Linked DNA regions of Ovis aries. The protein of the gene in region 2 purifies or fractionates together with the protein of the main gene of each other region. This does not show direct contact. Links are inferred from orthologs where the notes say so. Each region holds a gene or a part of one and is shown on either strand. Other genes may lie near its edges.

Region 1 (3,769 bases), on a different chromosome or scaffold from region 2:
CGAAACCTCTGCTCAAAGAGAACTGACCTGTCTTTCAGCAGCATGAGGGTGAACCCGTCACCCCCCTCACCCCTGCCGCCTGCCTGTGGAAGCTCACAGTGCCAGAATTCACTGTTCATTCTGGCCTATTTCTGGTGACAGACTCCAGACCTTTTCTTGACCCTGGACTTTTGGACTGGTTCAGGCTCACTTCAGGAGCATTTTCTACAATTGGGAACCCAGACCTCCTACAACTTAGGAGAGTCTTTCTCAAGGACCTGAAGGCCACTCCTTGAAATGTAACCACCAGGAGGGACAGGGTCTGTCCCCCAGTTCCTACCGCACGATGGGATCTTAGCTTCTGTAACCACCAGTTATCAGCACAGCAGCCGTATCCCACCGAAACCGCCCAAACGCCTGCCATTTTTCACTTGAACTCCACCCTTCTGTCCTGTCCTGAAAACGCCCAGTCCTCTCCGCACAATTTGAACTGGAATTCAGGGCTTCCCCCACTGCCTGGACCACTTAATAAAAGGTTTTCTGCCGCTCTTCGAATCAGCGTCTGGTTATCTCGGCCAGAGTTCGGGGGATCACTGTTTCTTTTTCTGTAAAGCTACTTTAAGCTGGGTAAGAAAACAGAAAAACTTGGGATTTTGTTCAAGGGGGTCACTCTTCCCCGTGGACCTGACACAGGGATGGCCTGACTTGCCGCCCCCCAAGGCTGTGGGGTCCCCCAGCCTCGGGAGGGGCCGAAGGGTAGGATTTGAGATGAGGAGTGTTCTAGGATGTTGAAGCGGCCGGAAAACAGGGAAAGAGGCGAGAGGAGAGGTGGGAGGGGACGGAGGGGGACGAAGGGGACGCCAAGCCTGCCAGCATCCGGAGGGCACGGGGCGCGGGGATCCCGCGGGGGCAGTGCGCAGCCAGGGAGGCGGTCGGCCTGGGCTGGGGGTGAGGCCAGGAGGCGGCGCGTGGTGGGACCAGGGCCGCCAGCACTCACTCACCCGGTGCAGAAAGCTCAGGCGGTCCCGCAGCGGCGGCGTGGCCGCCATGGTGCCGGCCACCTTCCGGCCCCGCCCCGCTTCCGCCAGGCCCGGGCCCCCGCCAATCAGTGCGTGAGCCTGACCCCGCGGGCCAATTACCCGAGTGAGGAGGGCCTTGCGGCCGACTTCGGGAAACAGTTTGCGCGTGAACCAATACAAAGTCCAAGGACAGCGACCGACAACGAGCCAACTGCAGGGCTCTGGGAGACTGAGAGCGGTTCCGGAGAGGCTAAGGCGAGGGCTAAGCCTGACCAAGTGACAAAGCGCAAGAAAGATTGTGGGCGGAAGTGCCTGCCGGTTAAGCTGTTGGGCGCCGGAAGAGGCCGGACCTAAGATGGCGGCGCCCACAGGTGCCGGGAGGAGCCGCTCATGTCGGGGAACGGAGCTGTGTGGGGTCGCGTGCGAAGCCGCCTCCGCGCCTTTCCCGAGTGTCTAGCTGCCTGTGGGGCCGAGGTGCGGAGTCGTCAGGCGGGGCAGGAAGGGCCGCGCGAGGCGGGGTGCAGGTTGGCGGGGGGCGGCTAGTGGTGACCCGGGAGCGGCGGCGGCGGGGTCCGCCCGGGTAATGAGCGGGCGCGGGGACCGTGGCGACCCTCGCCCATCTCCGTCCGCCCCCAGGCCGCGGCCTACGGCAGGTGCGTGCAGGCGTCCACGGCCCCGGGCGGCTGCTTGAAGAAGGATCTGTGCGCGCAGGAGTTCGAGGCTTTGCGGAGCTGCTTCGCTGCTGCGGTAAGTGAACGCCAGCCTCGCCCGGGGGTGGGACCCTAGGGGGCGGGGACCCACGTTACCTGTTTGGGAAACGGGCTTCCTTTTCTTCTGGGTTCGATGTTGGGCTCCAACAGGTGCTTCACGGGGGCACAGCCCCACACCAGCCGGCGCGACCCCCGCCGCCACGGAGGCTGCCTGTAATGAGGCTAGCACAAGGTTTTGAGCTGGTGCCCAAGATGTCAAGGTCCTGGGTTCCCTCGACTCGGTGGGTCTGGGGTGGGCCACGATGCCCACAGTCAGTTCTGTTCACCAGAGCTGCTTGTGCTGAGTACTGGACCTGGCAGGGGACAGTTGGGTCAGCTCACTAGAATTTAGGGAATCCAAGGAATCTCTATGATCCAGGATGGAGAATGCATGGGCCATACTTCATTTCCCAGAGGGCTCAAAGAACCCCTTGCACCTTCCTAGCAATCATTGTGGCTGGGATATGCGGCTCGCCCTTGTCACCAATCTCCAATATGACATGTTTCATCCAAGATGCACGTGTCGCTTGGACTTGCTTCCTGGCTCTTGGCAGCTTCCTTGCTTTACTCAGAGCACTCCCTCCGGGAAGTACAAACCTTCATCCTGTGGTCAGTGGTTGGAAGGATTCACATGTAAAATAAAGATCACACACTCCTGGCCAAACCAGGCTTTTCCCTACCGCCTGTGGTTATTAGTCAGGATCACAGGTATCCTGTGAATCCTCTCTGGAAGGAATCCTCTCTGATTCCTTACGCTTCTTTGCCCCTGTCATGTTGTCTTGCCCCCGGGAGCGTGTGGCTGCCTCTCCTGCTGTTTTCCATTGAGGGCAACCTAACCACAGGCCCCAGGCACTGGAAGTTCAGAACAGGGAACCTGGGGGTTTCTCATTTAAAGACACAAGCCATTTTGTCTACTCTGCCTGCACCCTGAGGCTCTGTGGGGGTGCATGAGGAGGCAGGAGGGGAGCCTGTGTTTCAGCATCTCTGGCTTAGAGATTCCTTTATAGAAGGGGGAGGACTAAACGGGACTCGTTGGTGGCACAATGCCTGGCAGGGTGGGAGAGGCCACAGAGCAGGTTGAGCCCAGCCCCAGGCTCCCCAGTGCCCCAACCAGCCTGGCCCCATGCTGCACACTCGTGGCCAAGCTCTTTGTCATTTGTTTGCCAGGAGGTGGCTTCTGGGATGGTAGTTTTCTTAACTTTGAAACCATGTCTAACTTGTCTAACCATGTCTAACTAAAGCAACCCATTCAGACACAGCCCTTTGTCTTCCAGGCCAAGAAGACCCTGACAGGAGGCCGTTAGGAAGGACTACAAGCTCCAACGCACGTCCCTGGGTGCCTGGCACTGATGGCCTCAAGGGGCAAGCGTCTAAAACCTTAAAAGCTCTTGGGGCTAAAAGGACTGGAAACACATTAGGCATGCATGAGCAGGAGAATGGGTTTTCCAGCCTTGCACACCTAAGGATTTGGGGAGAATAAGATACAGTGAACCCACAATAAAGATCAGATCAGACACTGTAAGATTTGTTTTGTCATCTGCGGAATGAGTGCATGGGCTGTGAACAAGCTGCCTTGCGAGTTTCGTTCTTTAAAGAGTTCTCACCAAGGCACGTCATCTGAGTGGCGAAGCATCCAGAAGTAACTACCAGGTCACAGCACAGACCAAAGAAAGAACAGTGACACCGTGAGGGAAAAGTCCGAGCTGTAGGAACCTGGTACTGATGGGGTTTTTTCTGACTTAGAAAAAAAAAGGTGGGGGTTGCTCTTCAGACAAAAGGGTGAAGAACCCAGGGAAGGTCTGGTTTTAGGAACCCAGTGCCTGTGAGACTTGCTCCATGGGGTTGCCCCACCCTCCCTTCCGCAGCCTCTGGAGTCTGAGCCCAGGTCCATCCTGGCCAGGCTCCTGCTCACTCTGGTCCCACCCCTCATCCTGATTCGGTAAGGCCGCAGCAGCACACGTGCTGGAGCTCCAGGGAGACCCAGTGGGACCCAGGAAGATTTCAGCATCCTGAGTGCTGCCT
Region 2 (4,192 bases):
TGATGGGACGTCCTCTTTTATCCACAGCATAATTCAATTTGAACTTTTTGTCATGAAACATTGCTCGAAATCTCTTGTCAATTTTGACTTTTCGATCCTTTTCTGGCATTTCCCAAAATCTTGGGTCCTTTGCAACCCGCCTAAACCGTTGGTCACTCATGATTTCTTGTTTAGATGCCATTTTTAAATGTGTAACTGGACAAATGCCTGAAGAAATCAAATACTAAAAAATAAAATCATAATGAAAGGTCAGTAACAGAATTAAGTAAGATGCTATGGGAAAATATTAATTCACAATACTATATTCTAAGCTACATTAAGTAAAATAAGAGGTCTAATTTCATTTCCCGAACAAATCTTGAGTCACATGCAGAAAAGAAAAACTATCAGAAAATCTTCTTTTGAGTACAGCATTTGAAGAAATAAACTTAACGCAAAACCAAGCAGAATTCCAGGTCTTTATGGAGGGAGGCAAGTGATTACTAGCCAACTGCCCTCACTTAGATATCCCATATTTCTACTTTATATGTGTATGTGTTACAAGTAAAAGCTAATATGATTAAAATATCCTTAAGTCTCAGTCTTATTTGTTTTTTCACATTCTGGTCCCATTCTCTCCGTTAATCCTGACTTCATTTTATTCAGAACAGCCTTTACTTCGACCAGGCTGTTAACAGAACCAAATGAATTCAGGTTTAGTTCACAAAGTTCCCCCTCTTTGTATATGACCACCCTTCGTGAACCAGGTAAAGCCTTTCTCTTAGTTAACAAATACAAAGTAGCAGTGTTTTGTTCCAAAAGCAAGGCTTGACTATGACGCACCATTAAACATTTGACCCTCAGAACAGCCTTGTGGGGTAAACAATATTTCATTCAACTATCAGAGGTAAAGCGTATAGATGTTTAGAACGAAACCACTTGATCTACGGCAAATATTCGGAGACAGCAAGGCGACCAGACCTCATCTCGGTCGCCCGCCCTCATCTCCGGCGCCCACCTGCCCCTCCTACCCACCCGGTAACGCCGAGAACACCAGGGAACTAGGACCTACCTTCCCAGCTCCCAAACCTGAGAGACGCTTTGGGGCTCAAGCCCCTCAACACGATCTGGAGGAGCAAAGAAGCTTGAGGAGAGGGGTCGTAAAGGCAAGGAGGAAAAGCGCGGGGCTCGTAAACCCGGAGAATCTGTCGTACACTGGCTCTGTCCCTCTTCTCCTGGAGCCCCACTCCACTCACCGACTCCGAACCCTCTCACGGCGTCACATGGGGCCCCACACCCACAATCCTCTGCGAGACACGCCGCCGTGATGGCACGCGAACTGGGCCAAACTGCCTCCGCTTTCCCTCCGCGAAGTGCTCCGGCGTCCTCGCCGTAGCCTTGGCGCATGCGCTCGATAACCGAGCCGGCTAGGGGTGTAGGCGCTGGAGATGCCTCTGCTCACCCCGCTTCGGTTCTCGTGGCGGCGGCTGCCGGCGGCCGGGGTCCCCGTGAAGAACCTCGGCCTCAGGACGGTGGCCTCTGGAGCCTCTTCCCCGAGTGGTGCCTCGCCCAAAGCCTTCAACATCTTCGATCGGGATTTGAAGAGGAAGCAAAAGAACTGGGCGGCCCGGCAGCCGGAGCCGATGAAGTTCGACTACTTGAAGGAGGAGGTGAGTCTGCGAGACGGCGCGGAGGGTGGCTCAGCGCCTTGACTTCGGGTCCCGGAGCTCCGGCCAGGACCTGAACGCCCCCACCTCGCCGTGTGACCTTGAGAGGCCGCCCTGCCTGTCTGGGCCTCTGCTGTAACCGCGCAGGGGCCGGGCGCCGGTGTTTGCAAGGTGCGATTCATTCATTCATTCATGTCCTCGGCAGATAGTATTAATACTTGAGTTACAGGTGTACCTGGGGCAAAGCAAGACCGCTGCCCTCAAGAGATTTCATTCTTGTGAGAGACGAGACAGTGAACCGGAAACGTAATTTCAGTTAATGAAGTAAAGCCAGGTAGTGAAGTAAAGAAGTAAAGCGACTTCGCTGGTTGGGGGCACACGACGAGGCAAGAAATTAATCAAGCTGGGATCTGGGAGATGTCGGGGGAAAGCTTTGCAGGTAATGGGGAAGACGAACCCAGAGGCCCTTAATCCCAAAGGGCCTTGTCAAGGCCTCCAGGAAAGCTCCAGTGGGAGGTAAGGGAGTGTCCAGGTCAGGAGGGCCTTAATGGGTAAGAACTTTGGATTTTCTTCTCTATCTCAGCTGTACATTCCATGTGGTAATTTCTGGCCACATGCAGCTTTTGAGCACTTGAAATGGCCCTTTGAGATGTGCTGCTGCTGCTGCTGCTGCTGCTGCTGCTAAGTCGCTTCAGTAGTGTCCGACTTTGTGCGATCCTATAGACGGCAGCCCATCAGGCTCCACCGTCCCTGGGATTCTCCAGGCAAGAACACTGGAGTGGGTTGCCATTTCCTTCTGCAATGCATGAAAGTGAAAAGTGAAAGTGAAGTTGCTCAGTCGTGTCCGACTCTTAGCGACCTGATGGACTGCAGCCTACCAGGCTCCTCCGTCCAGTAAGTGTAAAATACAGTGGGTTTCAGTGAATTAATATGGAAAAAGGATGTAAAATATTTCCTTAATATATTTTTATATTAATTACACATTGAAACTCTTGATATTTTGGGTGAAAATCAACTTCTTTACTCTTTTTAAAATGGCCACTAGAAAATCTTTGGAGAAGGGCATAGCAATCCACTTGCCTGGAGAAATCCATGAACAGAGGAGCCTGGTGAGCTACAGTCCATGGGGTCACAAAGAATCGGACACAACTGAGTGACTAACACTTTCAGCACTTTCACTGGAAAATCTTAAGTTGCTCATGTGGCTCTGATTGTTTTTCTCTTGGCCAACATAGCTCTAGAGTTTAGAGGAATGGGAGGCTGTTGAATGGTTTTCAGCAATGAAGTGATGGAATCTGATTCATCTTTTATGAATTAAGATCTCTGATTTATCTGTGCTGGTTTGAGAGACCTCTTCCTCTTTACTCAGGTGAGCTAGGAACTTGAGCCAGTTTCTACTCTCTGAACAGGCAGCACAGAGCTCAGGCCTATGTAAGTGCTTCTTCAGGGATAGACCAAAATTGAAATCAAGTGTGATGAGCCCTTTGAAGCCATTGCAGCCAACACTTACTGAGCTCTTGTTTTGGACAGAACTTTGTGCAGGTCCTGGTCAAATCGGATGACTGACTCTGTTCTCAGGGTGACACATATAAATATTCAGAAGATGTGAGTTTCCAGACCCTCTCTTCCAGGAAAGGCACCTGGATTACAACTTGACTGAGGCCTCACCATTGTTTAGGACTAGAATAAATGAGATAAAGTATACGAGAGTCTTTTAAAATAATAAACAAAAGGTATTCATATCAGTAATGATGCACAAAGTGGACTCCTCTGGAAAAGACTTCTGCTGTCCCTTCTCCCTTACCCTTCCTCCCTACCTCACCTCCCAAAGAAAATACACATATATTCTGTTCTGAACTTTCAAGTCCCTGTAGAAACTGTGATGTTTACCAGGGAATGAGTGGAATGTGGGGAATATTAGTCTCCCACATCTTTATTCCTGCTGCATGAAGCTAGCTGAGCAAAAGGAGGCACCTGCCTTATGACCTCTTTTAAATTGGATTGAGATTGAGGAGGTTTCGTTAAATGTGGCTGATTTCTAATTTGCAGATGTTGCTCAGAAAAGTTATTTATTCATTTAGGAGTTCCACAAAATTTGTTAATAGTTAACAAATAATTAGTTGTATTAAATTATCACTTATACATTGATCTGTAATAATCCTCAGCTAACTAATTTTTCACTTTCACGCACCTCACACTAATGTCTGTGGATGATATGCTTGTTATGTTTCTGTTGCTTTTTTTTTTTTAAGTTAGGGTATCCTGTTGCTTTTTGTCTTTGCACTCTTGCAGCACATGAAATATAAAGTCATAGATATACAGAATTTAGTCTTCTTTCCTTGAATTGACTTCTGAGGTAATTAACTCAATGTGTTTCCTTGGTTATTTTTATTTATATGTTCCTATTCAGAATTCCTATTCAAAATTTGGGGCTTCCCTGGTGGCTCAAATGGTAAAGCGTCTGCCTGCATTGCGGGAGACCTGGGTTCAATCCCTGGGTCGGGAAAATCCCCTGGAGAGGAAAGTGGCAACCCACTTCAGTACTC

Evidence for each region. The genes of interacting proteins can lie anywhere in the genome.
Region 1: the proteins of NDUFAF5 (region 2) and NDUFAF8 purify together in Homo sapiens (affinity purification with mass spectrometry; 3 studies listed by BioGRID and IntAct, counting the BioPlex papers as one, with this or other methods). This does not show direct contact. The link is inferred for Ovis aries from reciprocal best matches to the Homo sapiens genes NDUFAF5 and NDUFAF8.

Annotation. Positions count from the first base shown.
Region 1 is NC_056064.1:50,975,413-50,979,181, reverse strand, and holds NDUFAF8 (NADH dehydrogenase [ubiquinone] 1 alpha subcomplex assembly factor 8), read left to right. Parts: upstream 1-1,350; 5' UTR 1,351-1,388; coding exon 1,389-1,472; intron 1,473-1,634; coding exon 1,635-1,745; intron 1,746-1,858; coding exon 1,859-1,989; intron 1,990-3,021; coding exon 3,022-3,037; coding exon of another isoform or gene 3,038-3,051; 3' UTR 3,052-3,269; downstream 3,270-3,769. Other genes in the region: AP-4 complex accessory subunit tepsin, read right to left, coding at 981-1,028. UniProt on the Homo sapiens protein: Involved in the assembly of mitochondrial NADH:ubiquinone oxidoreductase complex (complex I, MT-ND1). Required to stabilize NDUFAF5.
Region 2 is NC_056066.1:7,200,027-7,204,218, forward strand, and holds the start of NDUFAF5 (arginine-hydroxylase NDUFAF5, mitochondrial), read left to right. Parts: upstream 1-1,392; 5' UTR 1,393-1,427; coding exon 1,428-1,649; intron 1,650-4,192. Other genes in the region: ESF1 homolog, read right to left, coding at 1-181. UniProt on the Homo sapiens protein: Arginine hydroxylase that mediates hydroxylation of 'Arg-111' of NDUFS7 and is involved in the assembly of mitochondrial NADH:ubiquinone oxidoreductase complex (complex I, MT-ND1) at early stages. May also have methyltransferase activity.